3 linked regions of the Macaca fascicularis genome follow. The protein of the gene in region 2 interacts with the protein of the main gene of each other region in a pairwise test. Links are inferred from orthologs where the notes say so. Each region holds a gene or a part of one and is shown on either strand. Other genes may lie near its edges.

Region 1 (5,309 bases), on a different chromosome or scaffold from region 2:
GTAACAATTTGCATATCATTCAGGACTTTCGTGGGCCCCCTAAAGTCTCTAGGTGTCTCTTGACTTTTGTTGAAACCCCTGAATTAGTTGTTCTCTTGCGTTTCATTTCTCTTCATGAATGGCAGAATTCTATAGCTATGTCATATTAAGGATCTTCATAGATATAATCCCTTGATACACAGATGGTGAACTTTTGGTGTATTGATGCTGCCCAGATCACATATGCTCAATACCCTGGGGTGTATGAAGGAGATAGATTATACTGAATTGACTAGAATTCCTAAAGAGATGGCTGTGGAGCTGAGAAAAGAGCAGGTAGACTTGGAATCGTCAGACTTACCCACTAGCTAATCTGGTAATTTTCAAAACTGTTCCAGCCTCAATTTCCCCTTCTGTATACGGAATGAAGAATGTGTCGTGACTATCTGGCACTTAAGTGAATTAACAGTGAACCCTGTAATGAAATAGATAAATGGAAATAAGCCTGGGGAACGCTCATCACTTTTGCTTGTTGCTTAAACATTAATATTTCCCATAGAGTCATGTCTGGCAGGCTCTAGGTTCTTAGAGAAACTGTAGGGCGGCTGATGGGCAAGGTCCCTGAGGACTCTGAGAACCTCTTCACTTACAGTGGGGAAGCCATGGGACCTGGAGAGCCCAACCAAGAAAGGGAAATGAACTTGAAAATCAATATTGTGAAGACAGGAAGTTGGGCTCAGGCTTTTAGAAAATCATTTTTTGGACCTGTGCTCTCCAGAGGGCTAGAAAAGTTGCAAAAGTCTTTTGATGAAAGGAAACCTCGAATCCATCTGATAAATCTAAGATCTAATCAGTGTTTACATACAGTAACATAATAATTCATTAATTAAAATGTACTTGGAAAGCATTTAAGAGCACATTCATTTGTTCACTCTTTCTTATTATGCTATGGATAGGCATAAAACCTTTTTGGGAGAGGTATGTATCATTGTTTTTTTGAGATGGAGTCTGGCTCTGTTGCTCAGGCTGGAGTGCAATGGTGTATTCTCGGCTTACTGCAACCTCTCCCTCATGGGTCAAAGTGATTCTCCTGCCTCAACCTCCTGAGTAGCTGGGATTACAGGCGCACACCACCTTGCCCAGCTAATTTTTGTATTTTTAGTAGAGACAGGGTTTCACCATGTTGGTCAGGCTGGTCTTGAACTCTTGACTTCGTGACCCGCCCACCTCAGCCACCCAAAGTGATGGGATTACAGGTGTGAGCCACTGCGCCCAGCCTGTATCATTTTTACATTAACAAATGGAGCAGATTTCTGTGTCTCTTTGAGTTGTTCAGAGACCTTGATATGTCTACTTCTGTTGCCATCTCTTGAAAGGGTCCTGTCTAATGTCTTAGGTCTGGAAGAATTAAGTCTGTTTTTTTTTCTTTTGGAAGCTTAATTTTAATTTTCTCTTTAATAATTGTTGTAATTTATGCATATGTTATGCATGCCATTTATGAAACTCCAATCTTGTTCATGTCTGATAATTGATTAATCTATTTTCTTCTGCTTTTATTTTCAGATAGAAGAATTTCGAAGGCTGAGGACGCATGTTAAGGGGGCAGAACTTGTGGAAGGCTGTGATGGGATTTTGGGAGACAACTTTCGGCCCACTCAGCCTCTTAGTGACAGAGTCATTAGAGCTGCATTTCAGTAGCCAAAGAGGACAGGAACCCTATCTTCATGAGGGTATGTCCAGATTAAGTAAGGAAAATGAGGTGCACAGCTACTTAAACCTAGCATACCAAAGGTACACTTACGGTGATCCTGGTAATTTAGTAATAAAAACATATGTACTTCATCTTGATAAAATTTATGACACATTCTTGAGCTCTGTTAATTACAGGTCAAGTAGTTATTTTAATCTTATGCAGTATTGAAGAAAAACTACGATTATATTTTCCTATCAGAGTAGCCTTTAATTCCAAGTTTTGGTGGCTTTCATAAGGAAAGACACCCTGAGGCCCAGAAAAAGTGACACGCATACCTCTTTAGTAACTTACCATGTTGTCCCCTTGAAGCAGCACGAGTCATGTCCCAGTGACCAAGGAGCACACAGGAGGGGGCTTGGGGAACATGTGAGCCTCAGTGTGGATCCTACTTGTCTCCTGCACAATTGATCCTCTTGTTTCTCAGGGTAGGGAGCATATCTGGCATGCATTGAAATACTTCTTCTATGGAAGCGCTTTTTATTTGATAAATTGAGAAGCAGTTATTAATTATCTAAATATGGTACACTGTTGGTTGAAACATTATATATTTTAATATACTGAATTCAATGTATGTATTCCTTACTCTTAAGGAACTAACAAAATAAAATATCACAAACGTGTAAGAGATAAAATATTAAAAAAGACTATATATTGGATTATTTCTTTACCTTGTAAATTAACTAAGAGTGTATAGGTCATTGTACATCATTGGCAAACCATAGCTTCCTAAGGGGAAAGCATCTGTTGGAATGGAACCTAGGGAAGCAGCGAAATCTCATCTCTATAAACAATTTAAAAATTAGCTGGGTGTGGTAGCATACACCTGTAGTCCCAGCTACTCAGGAGGCTGAGGTGAGAGGATCACTTGAGCCTGGCAGGTGGAGGCTGCAGTCAGCTGAGATCGCACCACTGCACTCCAGCCTGTGTGACAGAGTGAGACCATGTCTCAAATAACATAAAACAAAACAAAAAAACAAAGAAGTCTGTCAGGTAGCCGAGGTGACAGATGCGGAGGCTTGGACACTAGAATAGAAACAGTGGAGGTGGAGAGAAGTTAATGTATGTGAAATAGAAATCACAGGTTCTAGCTCATGATGAATTGGATAAGGGGTGGAAGGAGATGGAAGTGTCAAAGATAACTTCTGGGGTTTTACACTTTGGAAACCCTGGATGGAGTGTCACTGAGTGGCAGTGGGAAAGCTGCGGGGAGGCCCTGTTTGGTTGAAGATGAAGAGTTGAGTTGCAGCACAGTGAGTGAGAGATGCCTGTCAGCCAAACTGCAATGGTGGACTCTGGTCGTGAAAGTCATTAGAATTTCCAGAGTAGAGAAGAGAAAACAAGTCTGGGTTGAAATAGGGAAGTATTGGGTGTAGACATTGTATATGTTCATATAATGCTCTGATGGATCTAATGGAGTTACTTAATTAAGTGTGTATAAAATCTTGTGGGAGGCTTTACAGGCAAGTTAGCCAAGACACAGAGAAGTTAGGCTACAGCCCAAAGTAATACAGTTATTGACCAGTGGAGCCAAAGCAGATCCAGGTAGCTTGACTGGCAGACCCCTTTTTCTTCACCACGACATGGGCAGAGGTTAAAGAGTTCTGCCACACTGGCGTTTGAGTGGCACATCAAGGAGGGATTCTGTTGCAGCAGGCTGAAGGACATAGGAAGGGAGGAGCTGGAGACTCCAGGTCGCAGCCACCTTGGTGGGCTGGGCTGGAGTGGGGCAGGAGGCCACAGCAACAGAGAGGGGGTGGGATTGAGGAAATCTTTTTTTTTTTTTTTTCTTTTTTAAACAAAAGAAATAGAACTTGTCTATATACTGGGGGATGGAAAAGGAGCAAGCAGATGGAGAGAGGCTGAAGGTGCTGCTTTTGGGAGGAGCTGGAACAGTGAAGTCTGAAAAGTGGAAAGGGATGAAATCCTAAACACACAGGGAGCCTGGCTTTTGCTGAGAGGATGGGCACTCTCTGTGCTGCAATGGGAAGGAAGAAAGAAGGAGGTGGTAGTTTAGAGCTGCTGTGTACCCATGACTTGCTCTTATCATTTAATGATGAATGGGGCAGGAGCTAGGAGCAGGAGAACAGTAGGGAAGATAGGATAGGAGCAGAGGAAAAAGGAAGGATGTGTTCATAGGAGAGGCCAAGAGGCAGCGGGGGTGGGATGAGGGTTGCAAAGCGTGAATGCATGCATTTATCCAGTCTAGGTTTAGTTAGTATACTCCCTGTGAATGTGAATAACTGTAAATGATACTTTTAATGAAGGGAGATTATTCCCTTGAATATCTGGTTTGTATCTGGTCCTAGACCAGAGTTGCCATTCTCTAAATAGCTAAATTACTATTATTATTTTCTGTCCCTCTTTTACACACACACACACACACACACACACACACACACAGAGAGAGAGAGAGAAAAACGTTGTTTATGAGATTTTGTATATTTCACGTACTTTGTATTCTTTATATGATAGATGAATAATGTGTAGTTTTTCAAAGTTTTGAGTTAATTACAATTTAGGTACTATTTCTGATAGGAAGATGGATTTGTATTCTTATCTTGGTGGCTGAGATTACTTAAAGGGCATAATTTGCTCCCAAATTCCTAAGAATAGTACAGGAATTCTAAGGTGACTCTAATTCTGATTTCATTTTTTTATGAATACATTTTTTATCCTTTTATCTTGAAATGTGTAATACAAATCTAGTCAGAGTTCTATATAAAAATTATATTGGGAATCAGACTTATGTGTGTGTACTTTTTATTTGATATTTAATAATGCCCTAAGGCAGGTAATTCAAATTTTTATTAAAGTGAAATGATTTGACAGTCACACTTTGAATTTAATGCATGAATGTTTCATTTAAGCTCTTGGAACTGAAAAGGAAAAGACATTTCTCTGGTAGTTGTTCTCTAAAAAATGTTTAAAATAATTCAGATTTATTTTAGCTATGTTTTACTGAAATAACTTTAGTTTTTAGACTTAAAATGACAGATTTTTTTAAAAAATGGCGTGTCTGGGCACCTGGAAGACTTTGATAACCAAGCTTTATTATTCCCATGAGTAATCTGTGACTTTTTATATTACCATTTAAGAAGTATGAACTATGATTTTGTATTATACTTGTTTAAAGAATTAGTATGTAATTCATCCAGGTGCTGGAGAATCTTTGGTTCAGCAGTGCTAGTTCAGATATTGATTTTAAATGATCCTTTACCCATTGACTTTTCTATATGATGCAGGAGAACTAAATGTATTTTAATAACAATGAACAAATGATATAACAAGTTTAAGGTCCAGTTTACTTGTTACTTTTGCTATCATGACATTGGTAGTAATCTTCCAACAAAATGATTATTTGATTATTTACCTTTTTATTTCATTAAGTGTTTGCCCATTTTTAAAAGACTATTCTGACTGCTCAAAGACTGCCTTGCTTGTGACCTAAATATTGTTAAGCTGTATACATGTTTATAGTAACTATAATGAATTATAATTATTTTCTGTAAAAAGCAATGCCACATGGCTCTTTAAATAGTTTCTCTTTTTTTCCCCCTTAAAGGCGGAAAAATAAGAA
Region 2 (5,309 bases):
AAGTGACAGGTCCATCTTCCCATCTACCAACCCAGACACTTACTTTAAGTTATCTAGCTTCATCTGAAGTAAATCTGTATAATAGGTGTTATCTTCCAGAGCACCAGAGTCGACTGAAGGCTTAGATTCCATACTTTCATATAAATTCTTAAAAAAGCAAAAAAAATTGTATTACTTAAACAACAAATAAAGTTCGTTATGTTTATTAGTAACGGCACCATCACTTCCTTGGCGTGTACTACACTAAGAACTACCCATTTAACTTATTTGCCTTCTGAAGTAGGTAAAATAATTACCATTCCTCTCTTACAGATAAGGAAACAGGCTCCAAATGCAGAGGAAAGTAAACCAAGAAGAGATGATCTGAACCCAAATCTGACTCCAAGGCCTAGGCTTCTAGCCTTACCTATATGCTCTGGCTTCCTTCCCTCTCCTGGCTTTTAAAATAGAAAAATAAATGCCTGCTGGATTGAATTCTGGCCTTTGTAACAAAACCATAAACTGGAAAAATATGAAAGAAAGATGAGAGCCTTACATTTATATTTGGTGTCCCCCTCTTCTGAGGTTCTTCCCCCCACCCCAGGCAAGAATGTAGTGCAAACTCTTCTGAGACTGATGGAAACTATACATTTCTCTAGTGGGATAAAAAAGGTAAATGTGCTTAAAAACTTGAAACAATTTCAGAGGTTATAAATAAAATTCCCGATTTAAGGCCATAATTTTCAAAGTACAGTTCTGAGCCCACTGATGGAACACATAAGGCTGCCAATTTAACCAAATTTGTAGTTCTTTCAACAGTTTTTATAAGACACAGAAATAAAATTTTGTAAACTTAATTAAGATTTTATGACATACTAATGGCTATAATTTAGAATGCCTAAGGGGTTATTAACATTTACAAAAATTTGTCATTTATAAACTTTAGTTCATTAGGAGGTTAATGAAGATATCGATGTTCCCTAAGTTAATTTATAAAATCTTAAATTGCATGCAATTTTAATAGAAAGCCAACAAGCTTTTTTTGGTGCTAGGCAAGATGTTTGTAAATGAAAACTAACATTCAAAAATAGGCAGGAAAACACTGAAAATTAAAAAGTATAGTGAGGAAATAGTCCTACCAGATAAACATACTTTAAAGCCTTTATAATTAATAAAACAGTGTGGTACTGACACACACAGAAGCAGACCAATGGCATACACAGAAAATTTAGAAACAGACTCAAGTATACATGGAAACCTGATGTATGATAAAGGTGTCAACTCAAATGACTGGGCTCAAGATCGATTTTTTAACAAATGACTCTGGGACAAGTGCCTACTTATTTATAGGAAGATAAAATTAGATTTATACCTCAAATTATACACAAAAATAAACTTCAGTGGTGATCAGATATTTAAATGTAAAAAATGAAACCACACACGTATTAGAAAACATGGGTGAATTCTTATACACACACACACACACACAAATGCTTACACAAATACCATTATCCACTAAAATAAACCAATGTTCCTTGAAGAAATGCTAATCCCAGGGCTGGGGCAGGTGAGCTAGGAAAACCTTGTTGTGCCATAGAGTAAGGAAGTATTCAAGTAAGAGCACTTCGACTACCAAATCTAGGACAATTTGAGTATCAGAGTAAACAAAGCAAGCAATGGATTATAACTCATAGAATAAAGAATCCATAGCGCTATACTGATATAAATAAATGAATGAATAAGGGAAAAGATTTTTCTTTGCTGTCCCTTTATTAGAATTCCAACTAATAAATATAGAAGTGATGGAATTACCCATTTAGCAATCATCACAGAATTGTATTTCAGGCAAGAATCACCAACGGATGTTTAAGTATAAGGAGAAACAGGCATTTACTTAGTCTCAAAGTATCTCCCACAAGATACTTATTAATATTTTAAACTTAAAATACAAACCAAATTTTAAGGTATTCAAATCAAAATTTGGATGTGTGTTTTTTTAAGTGTTACACATACCTTAAATTTCTCCAGATTTCTAATTTCACCTAAAAGATGTTTTATTTCACCATTCTTCTGTTCCAACATGGCAAGCAACCGTTCCTGCTGCTCAAATTCAGTTTGAGACCCTTTCATCTGTAGCAACGTGGCGATTTGTAACTAGAAAAATAAAAGTACCCCCTCTAATAAAATTAAGTGAGAGAAAGATTCTGATAACTACTTTTTTGATATAATTCATAGTTTATACTACATTACTTTGAACTCATTTTGGAAACAAAACTAATTAGCTATTTCTAATCTAATAATAAACTTTGTTGTAGACATAACATTTGAATACTTATTCTGACTACTTATGAATGATAACTGAAGTCTGTAACATAATTATTTGTACTTTTGTGAAACATAAAACTGACCTGCATGATTGTGGTCTGAAAGGACACCACTGAACTGGTAAGTAAGCCCGGCCAAATGCTGCAGACTGCTTATCATAAGCACTCGCTCTCATTAAGGTTCTGATGGGTTTCTCAAAAATTTTAATTAACTTTAATTAAGTGAGAAAAACTAAGCTACTGACAGCCACAAATGTTAGATTCACAAATGACATGAAAAGCAAAGATAAAAGGCTATCTTGGGATAGTGGGGCAATCTTCAATACACCATGTTTTAATTTTTTAAGAGGAGCACTCGACTTACCTAATTATACCTACCCGCCCCCCCCAAATCTGGAGTTGCAAAGCTATCAAAGGGAAATTAAGTAGACTCTACACCTAGCATTTCTTTCTGTTTTTGGAAATTTCTGGAGTTGAAAAGAGTGCCTATTAGTTTAAATATAGTTTTGAGTAAAGCAAGCAAAGATATGAGGTTGCAGATGACTTTTAACATTTTAAAGGATATCCTTTTTGTTCCTGTTTCAGATTGGAGGCTAGGCCCACTTAGCCTAAGATTCAGAATGCTTTTAGTCTCTAAAGATAGTTTGGGACATCATGCAACATTGGCAGATTAAAAGTATCCCTGACAAATACTGTAAGAAAACTAAAGTAAATATGAGAAAATTTATAAAGAAATACTTCCCAGACAGGAGAGAGTCTCAGGAAATGAGGCAGCACGATTTGCCTTAGAAATAAAATTCACAGCTGTTGTTCATTAAACACTCATTTGCCAAGTAGCAGGTAAGTATTTTACTACACTTTCATTTAACTGTAGGACAATTCTAAGAGGGGGTTCTATCATCTCCACTTTATAGATGAGGTACTGATGCTTTGAAAGTTAAAATATTTGTCCAAGGTCACAGAGCTAGAAAGTGACAAAACTATGATTCAAACCCAAATCTATCTAACTCCCAAGTTTAATCATTAACCCATTTCTTTGGCAAAGCCCATCATCTGAATAAAAGGAAGGAAGCCTTTCCACATTCCAATTACTACCTCAGTAGAGCAAGGCACAATGGATGAGGGATCAGTATTCTAAGGATGGTTAAAATACTGAAATCTTTCTAATTTCCACATTTTTCTGCTACCTCTTATTTGGCTAGAATGACAACCAACAAAATCCGTAAAATTAAAAAGGTCTGTGTGCTTGACTTGAGGGGCTACAAGGAAAGGGAACCCTGAATAATCCAAATTTCACTCCACAATAAGCCTTGGTGAAAGAGCGAGGAATGGTGAGGCAGCGAGTTTCAGCTGAAGTAGGAACACCAGGGCTATGCCTGGAAAGACATCAGGCCAAGAATAAGAAATAAATACTTTTCTTTCTTCTACTCCATAAAGAAAGATTTAAGTCAAAGCTAGTGAGTAACCAATAAAACAAACAAAAAAATCATTGCTAAACATACTATTACTAAATATTTATTCCAAGATTTTTAAAGTATAAATGAATCTTTTGATTAATTTCAAAACTGATTTTTTGAAATCATGCAGTTCTAGAAATAACTATATGTACACTCCTTGTAGGAAAAGATCGTTTCTTTGATGTATTCAGACATGTAATGCTGACATAAAATTTGTTTAATAAACCTTTGATAGTGATAGTTCTATACCTTCATTCTCTGCATCTGTTCCCTGTTAAATACATTTTGCTTCTTTAGTGACTGATACTTGACTTTCATACTGATAAGCTGACGTTCCATTGCTGCCCTTCGATCTTCTACCTACAAAATATTAACATGCTTAATTGTTCTGGTAGTAAAGGAAAATGCCAATTTAGCAGTTAGAATACTTGTAAGTACCTCTGCAAACAAAGAGTTGCCTTTACTATTGGGGTCCAAAGCTTGCTGGAGTGCCTGGTCCAACTGTACCTGAAGATCTTGATTTGCTACACGAGCTTTCTAAATTCAAAAGAAAACAATTTAGGCAATAGACATTAGATTAGCAAAAAAAATAAGTTATGATAAATTGGAAAAGATGATGTTACTATAATCATAGTACCTCTAGGGCATTATAGTAAGAAACTGCTTCTTTCTCTCGCTCCTCTTTTTCCTCTTTAAGCCGGTCTACCTGGCGCATTAGGTTAGTAATAAGAAGTTCTAGCTGTTCTTGTCTGTATTGTAGTTCATTCACTTCTTCTTTGAGGGTGGTCTATTTAATAGGAATTGAAAAGGAGGAAATTCTCTTGAATAATCTTTCATTTGGCAGCTGCTCAGTTTATCTCAGTTGTGGTTCACATCCAAAATTAAAACTAAAGAACCAGTCAAAAGTTGTCAGGTACATACTAAAATAACAGAAATTACTATTACTGTTAAATTTTTCACCAAGGAAACAAATGATTTTAGAGACTGCCCTTTTTCCTCTATGAATTGCAGGCTTTAATTTTTAATTAAACTTAGCTTTCAACAAAAAAACTAAGTTCACATGCATTTCAGCTTCCACTGAGCCAACTTTTTACACTGGGCTCTTAACGATAAAAACCGGGATCAGAGTATATGCCTCTAAATTCTTCCAGAGGTTTCATTAATTTAAAAGAAAGGCTGCCCTACATAATCATACAATCTAAAGCTATATTATGATTGAAGTCATCCACCTAAAAAAACCCCACTTTTTAATTAGTTAGATGCAAATTAGGTCAAAAAATGTTTCAGCCTTCAAACTAGCTCTTAAGAATTACTACCAAAACATGTAAAAATATGCCAGAAAAAGAAAGAGAAAACCCTGAGAACCACATGCCATAAAAATTACCTTCATGCTCTCCATTTCTGTCAGCTCAATTTGAAGAGCCAGCATCTCTGAAGACATGCTTTCCTGCACACGTTCAGACATTACACGTAGTTCCTCCGATTTACAAGAGAGGAGTTCCTTCTGATGATCTACCTGGTGCTTCAGCTGCTTTTCACTAAGCCTAGC
Region 3 (5,309 bases), on a different chromosome or scaffold from region 2:
CCACCTTGGGCTCCCAAAGTGCTGGGATTACATAGGAGTGAGCCACTGTGACCGGCCAATTGTTATATTTTTAGTAGAGATGGGGTTTCACCATGTTGGCCACGCTGGTCTCAAAATCCTGACCTCAAGTAATCCGCCCACCTTGGCCTCTCAAAGTGCTGGGATTACAGGCATGAGCCACCGTGCCTGGCCAGAAATTTTCTTTTTATTTTCAGATGGAGTCTCACTGTGTTGCCCAGGCTGGAGTGCAGTGGTACAATTTCAGCTCACTGCAACCTCAACCTGCCAGGTTCAATCAATTATCCTGCCTCAGCCTCCCAAGTAGCTGGGATTACAGGCATGCGCCACCACACCCAGCTAATTTTGTACTTTCAGTAGAGACGGGGTTTCTACTTGTCGTTCAGTCTGGTCTCGAACTCCTGACCTCAGGTGATCCACCTGCCTTAGCCTCCCAAAGTGCTGGGATTACAGGCGTGAGCCACCACGCCCGGCCCTATTACCTTGTTCTTATCCATGTTATTGTACTTCCCACACAGTGTTTTAAGTATTTGTGTATGTCTCTCTCCTCCTGATTTCTGTTGTTCAGTGCCTATAGTCTGGCAAATAGCAAGCAATCAATAATTGCTTATTTAATGGCTGAATAAATGAATAGGAAGGAAGAAAGGAAGAAGAGAAAGAGGAGGAAAGATTATATATGGTATTACTCTTGGGAGTTAGAAGAGCCAACCTGTCAGTTCCAGGCTTCTAACCTTCAGAAAAATTGCCAACTCTAGCTAAACGCCACAAAACAATTCCTGGTGTTGTAACAGACAAGAGAAAAGACCAAGAAAAAGGAAAAAGAAAAGAAAAATACAGATATTGTGGTAGACAGATAATGCCCCCCGCCCCCCAAAAAAGATGTCCATATTCTAATCCCAGAACCTACGAATGTTACCTAACGTGGCAAAAAGGACCTTGCAGATGTGATTAAGTTAAAGAGCTCGATGGAGAGAGTACCCTGGATGATGTAGGTGGGATTTATATAAACACAAGAGGCCTTATAAAAGAAAGAAGGAGGCGGGAGAGTCAGAAAAGGAGAAGAGACTATGGAAGCAGAGCTCAGAAGAATGCAATCAGTGGCTGGGGAGCCACAATCCAAGGAATGCAAATAGCTTAGAAGCTGGAAATTTAAGAAAATAGCTTTTCTCCTAGAGCCTTCAAAAGGAATGCAACTGATACCTAATTTTAGCCCAGTAAAACTCATTTGGACTTCTGAACTACAGAACTATAGATAATAAATTTGTGTTGTTTTAAGCCACAAACTTTGTGGTAGTTTGTTATAGAAGCAATAGGAAAATAAACACAGAATCATATATGATGAAATATAATAAATAATATCTATAGCTGCCTCAAAATATGAACACAAACTGCCACTCAGAATATACCAGAATTCACTGTTTTTGATCAGTATGTTAAAATATTCATGGCCGGGTGCAGTGGCTCACGCCTGTAATCCCAGCACTTTGGGAGGCTGAGGTAGGCGGATCACCTGAGGTCAGGAGTTTGAGACCTGCCTGGCCAACATGGTGAAACCCCGTCTCTACTAAAACTACAAAAATTAGTTGGGCGTGGTGGCAGGCGCCTGTAATCCCAGCTACTCAGGAGGCTGAGGCAGGAGAATCGCTTGAACCTGGGAGGTGGAGGTTGCATTGAGCCAAGATTATGCCATCACACTCCAGCCTGGGGGACAAGAGCGAGACTTGGTCTCAAAAAAAAAAAAAAAAAAAAAAATCCATATACAAATGAATGAATAAAATGACTGCCCAGATATAAGATAATTTCTGGGATAATATGGTAATCTTCTTTGTGTTTGAGCCAGTGACCTGAAAGGCAGTAAAATGGTCCTCTTTTAAAAATGGATTTCAATAGGTCCCACACCGGGGCTCATGCCTGTAATCCCAGCACTTTGGGAGATCGAGGTGGACGAATCACTAGAGGTCAGGAGTTCGAGACCAGCTTGACCAACATGGTGAAATCCCGTCTCTACTAAAAATACAAAAAATATTAGCTGGGTGTAGTGGTGGATGCCTGTAATCCAAGAGTAAAACCATAGACTTGGGAGGCTGAGGCAGAAGAACTGCTTGAATCTGGGGGGTAGAGGTTGCAGTGAGCTGAGATTGCACCACTACACTCCAGCTTGGGTGACAGAATGAGACTCTATCTAAAAAAAATAAATAAATAAATAAAATAAATGGATAAGAATAATCAAAACAGCTCTAGCTTTGCAAAAAGTCTGTTTTTATGGGAGACATCAGGAAGGACTTATGTCAAATGTAAAAGGCATTTAAAAGGAATTTTAATAAGCATTCCAAAAGATGTAATTTTTTTTTCATTTTTATGACATTTAAATAAAAAAATAAAATTAGAGCCTCATTGCCTTGTTATCTGACTTTTTAAATATGGAGGCCCTGTCTACCTTATTTGCTTATTTGGATTATCTTTCTGCAACAACACACAAACAGACAAAATATCTAGAGAATGTGATAACTACTTTTTTTGTTCAAAGACAGGGTCTCACTCTGTTGCCCAGACTGGAGTGCACTGGCCAATCATAGCTCACTACCGCCATGAACTCCTGAGCTTAAGGGATCCTCCCGCCTCAGCCTTCCGAGTAGCTGGGACTACAGGTGCTCACCATAACGCCAGGCTAATGTTTTATTTTGTTTGTTTTTTTGTAGAGACAAAATCTCACTTTGTTGCCCAGGCTGGTCTCGAACTTCTGGCTTCAAGTGATCATCCCACCTCGGCCTCCCAAAGGGCTGGGATTATAGGCATGAGCTACCATACTCGTCCTGTGATAACTACTAATGTCTTCATACATGATAAAGCTCATGATCAGAGTTCAAACAACTTACTTTCCTTTATCTTTCAACCATTCGGGGTTCTTTTCTTCTTCTTTTAAATCGCAAAGTTCAGGAATGTCAGTATTCATTGCTCTTCGTGCCTCAGCTTGTTTGTGTAGCCACTAGAATGAGAAAGAAGTCCTATGAAGAAGAAAAAGGTCTTTTTTAAAAATTAACATTTCCTTTTAGATTTTCCATCTTCCTCCAGTGGATGGAAATATTATTTGTTATGCACTGAATGTTTGTGTCTTCCCCACTTCTCCTCCAAATTGATATACTGAAGCCTTAACCATCAATGTGAATCAGTATTTGGAAGTGGGGCCTCTGAGAGGTAATTAGGTTTAGGTCATGAGAGGAGAGCCTCCAGAATGAGTTTACTTTCCTTATAAGAAGAAAGAGATCAGAGCTCCCTCACCCACTGTGAGGACACAGTGAGAAAGTGGTTGTCTACAGGTTCTGATGAGGGCTCCTACCAAGAACCATGCTGGCACCCTGATCTTAGATTTCCCAGCCTCCAGAACTATGAGAAATGACTCTTCATTGTTTAAGCCACCCAGTCTATGGTATTTTATTTATAGCAGCCAGAGCAGATTAACATACTATTTGATAATGGTAACTTTTTTTTTTTTTTTTTTGTCTTGCTCTGTCACCCAGGCTGGAGTGCAAGTGGCACAATCTTGGCTCACTGCAACCTCCACCTCCCAGGTTCAAGTGATTCTCCTGCCTTAGCCTCCCAAGTAGCTGGGATTACAGGCGTGTGCCACCATGACCAGCTAATGTTTGTATTTCTAGTAGAGACGAGATTTCACTATTTTGGCCAGGCTGGCATTGAACACGTGACCTCATGACCACCCACCTCGGCCTCCCAAAGTGCTGGGATTACAGGCATAAGCCACCCCACCTGGCCGACGATGGTGATGTTAATCTTGCAATATTTATACATTGTTAAACTTTTTTTTTTTTTTTTTTGAGACATAGTCTCACTCAGTTGCCCAGGCTGGAGTACAGTGGCACGATCTCGGTTCACTGTACCCTCCACCTCCCGGGTGCAAGCGATTCTTCTGCCTCAGCCTCCTGAGTAGCTGGGACTACAGGCATGCACCACCACGCCCAGCTAATTTTTTGTATTTTTAGTAGAGACGGGGTTTCACCATATTGGCCAGGCTGGTCTTGAACTCCTGACCTTGTGATCCACCCGCCTTGGCCTCCCAAAGTGCTGGGCTTACAGGCTTGAGCCACCATGACCGGCCTTAAACTTTTTTTAAACCTCATTAGCTGGTTGAAATATAATAGATAGAAGTTTCTAGCCAAATTTCTTGTTTTCTGGGAGTTCATGTGATATTATTATTATTATTATTATTTTTCCTGAGATGGAGTCACACTCTGTCCTCCAGGGCTGGAGTGCAGTGGCATGATCTCAGCTCACCGTAACCTCCGCCTCCTGGATTCAAGCAATTCTCCTGTCTCAGTCTACTGAATAGCTAGGATTACAGGCATGTGCCAGCACGCCTGGCTAATTTTTGTATTTTTAGTAAAGATGGGGTTTCACCATATTGGCCAGGCTGGTCTCGAACTCTTGCCCTTGTGATCTGCCCACCTCGGCCTCCCAAAGTGCTGGTATTACAGGCGTGAGCCACCATGCCCAGCCCATGTGATTATTATTTTGCCTTTCTTCGTTATAGTATTTTCATTCTTCTATACTGAAAAATATACAGAAGGTCACTTGAGCCCAAGAGTTCAAGGCTACAGTGAGCCATGATTGCCCCACTGTACTCTAGTCTGGGCAGCAGAGCAAGACCCCAACTCTAAAAAAATAAAAAGGGGTGTGTGTGTATATGTGTATAAACACAATTTAAAAATAATTCTAACTGTATACTTATAGAAATGTTATAAATACAGAAAATACATTGTTTAATAATACAAAAAAATTAATATTTATATTGTCATTGACTTTTTTTTTTTTTGAGACGGAGTTTCGCTCTGTCACCCAGGCTGGAGTGAAATGGTGCAATCTTGGCTCATTGCAACTTCCACCCCCTGGGTTCAAGTGATTCTACTGCCTCAGCCTCCCGAGTAGCTGGCAGATGCCTGCCACCACACCAGGCTAATTTTTGTATTTTTAGTAGCGATGGGGTTTCACCATGTTGGCCAGGCTGGTCTCAAACTCCTGACCTCAGGTGATCCACCCACCTCGGCCTCCCAAAGTGCTAGGATTACAGGCGTGAGCCACCGTGCCCGGCTTGTCATTATGTCTTAAGGATCTTCTTATATCTACAATTTTTCAATTGAAAGATGTGTCAATTCAGACTTTCAGTTAAAAAATGCAATTCTTGGCCGGATGCGGTGGCTCAAGTGCTGGGATTACAGGCATGAGCCACCGCATCCAGCCAAAACAATGTAGTTCTTAGTGCTAATATAACTAAATAT

What was found.
Region 1: the proteins of SPDL1 (region 2) and CA8 interact in binary tests that used the Homo sapiens proteins (3 or more experiments, as listed by UniProt). The two-hybrid records come from large-scale screens. The link is inferred for Macaca fascicularis from reciprocal best matches to the Homo sapiens genes SPDL1 and CA8.
Region 3: the proteins of SPDL1 (region 2) and DNAAF4 interact in binary tests that used the Homo sapiens proteins (3 or more experiments, as listed by UniProt). The two-hybrid records come from large-scale screens. The link is inferred for Macaca fascicularis from reciprocal best matches to the Homo sapiens genes SPDL1 and DNAAF4.

What each region holds. Positions count from the first base shown.
Region 1 is NC_088382.1:70,156,788-70,162,096, reverse strand, and holds part of CA8 (carbonic anhydrase-related protein), read left to right. Parts: intron 1-1,542; coding exon 1,543-1,677; 3' UTR 1,678-1,709; intron 1,710-5,309. UniProt on the Homo sapiens protein: Does not have a carbonic anhydrase catalytic activity.
Region 2 is NC_088380.1:176,413,586-176,418,894, reverse strand, and holds part of SPDL1 (protein Spindly), read right to left. Parts: coding exon 5,145-5,309; intron 4,548-5,144; coding exon 4,398-4,547; intron 4,298-4,397; coding exon 4,199-4,297; intron 4,121-4,198; coding exon 4,010-4,120; intron 2,134-4,009; coding exon 1,993-2,133; intron 148-1,992; coding exon 44-147; intron 1-43. UniProt on the Homo sapiens protein: Required for the localization of dynein and dynactin to the mitotic kintochore.
Region 3 is NC_088381.1:31,926,572-31,931,880, forward strand, and holds part of DNAAF4 (dynein axonemal assembly factor 4), read right to left. Parts: intron 3,024-5,309; coding exon of another isoform or gene 3,005-3,023; coding exon 2,895-3,004; intron 1-2,894.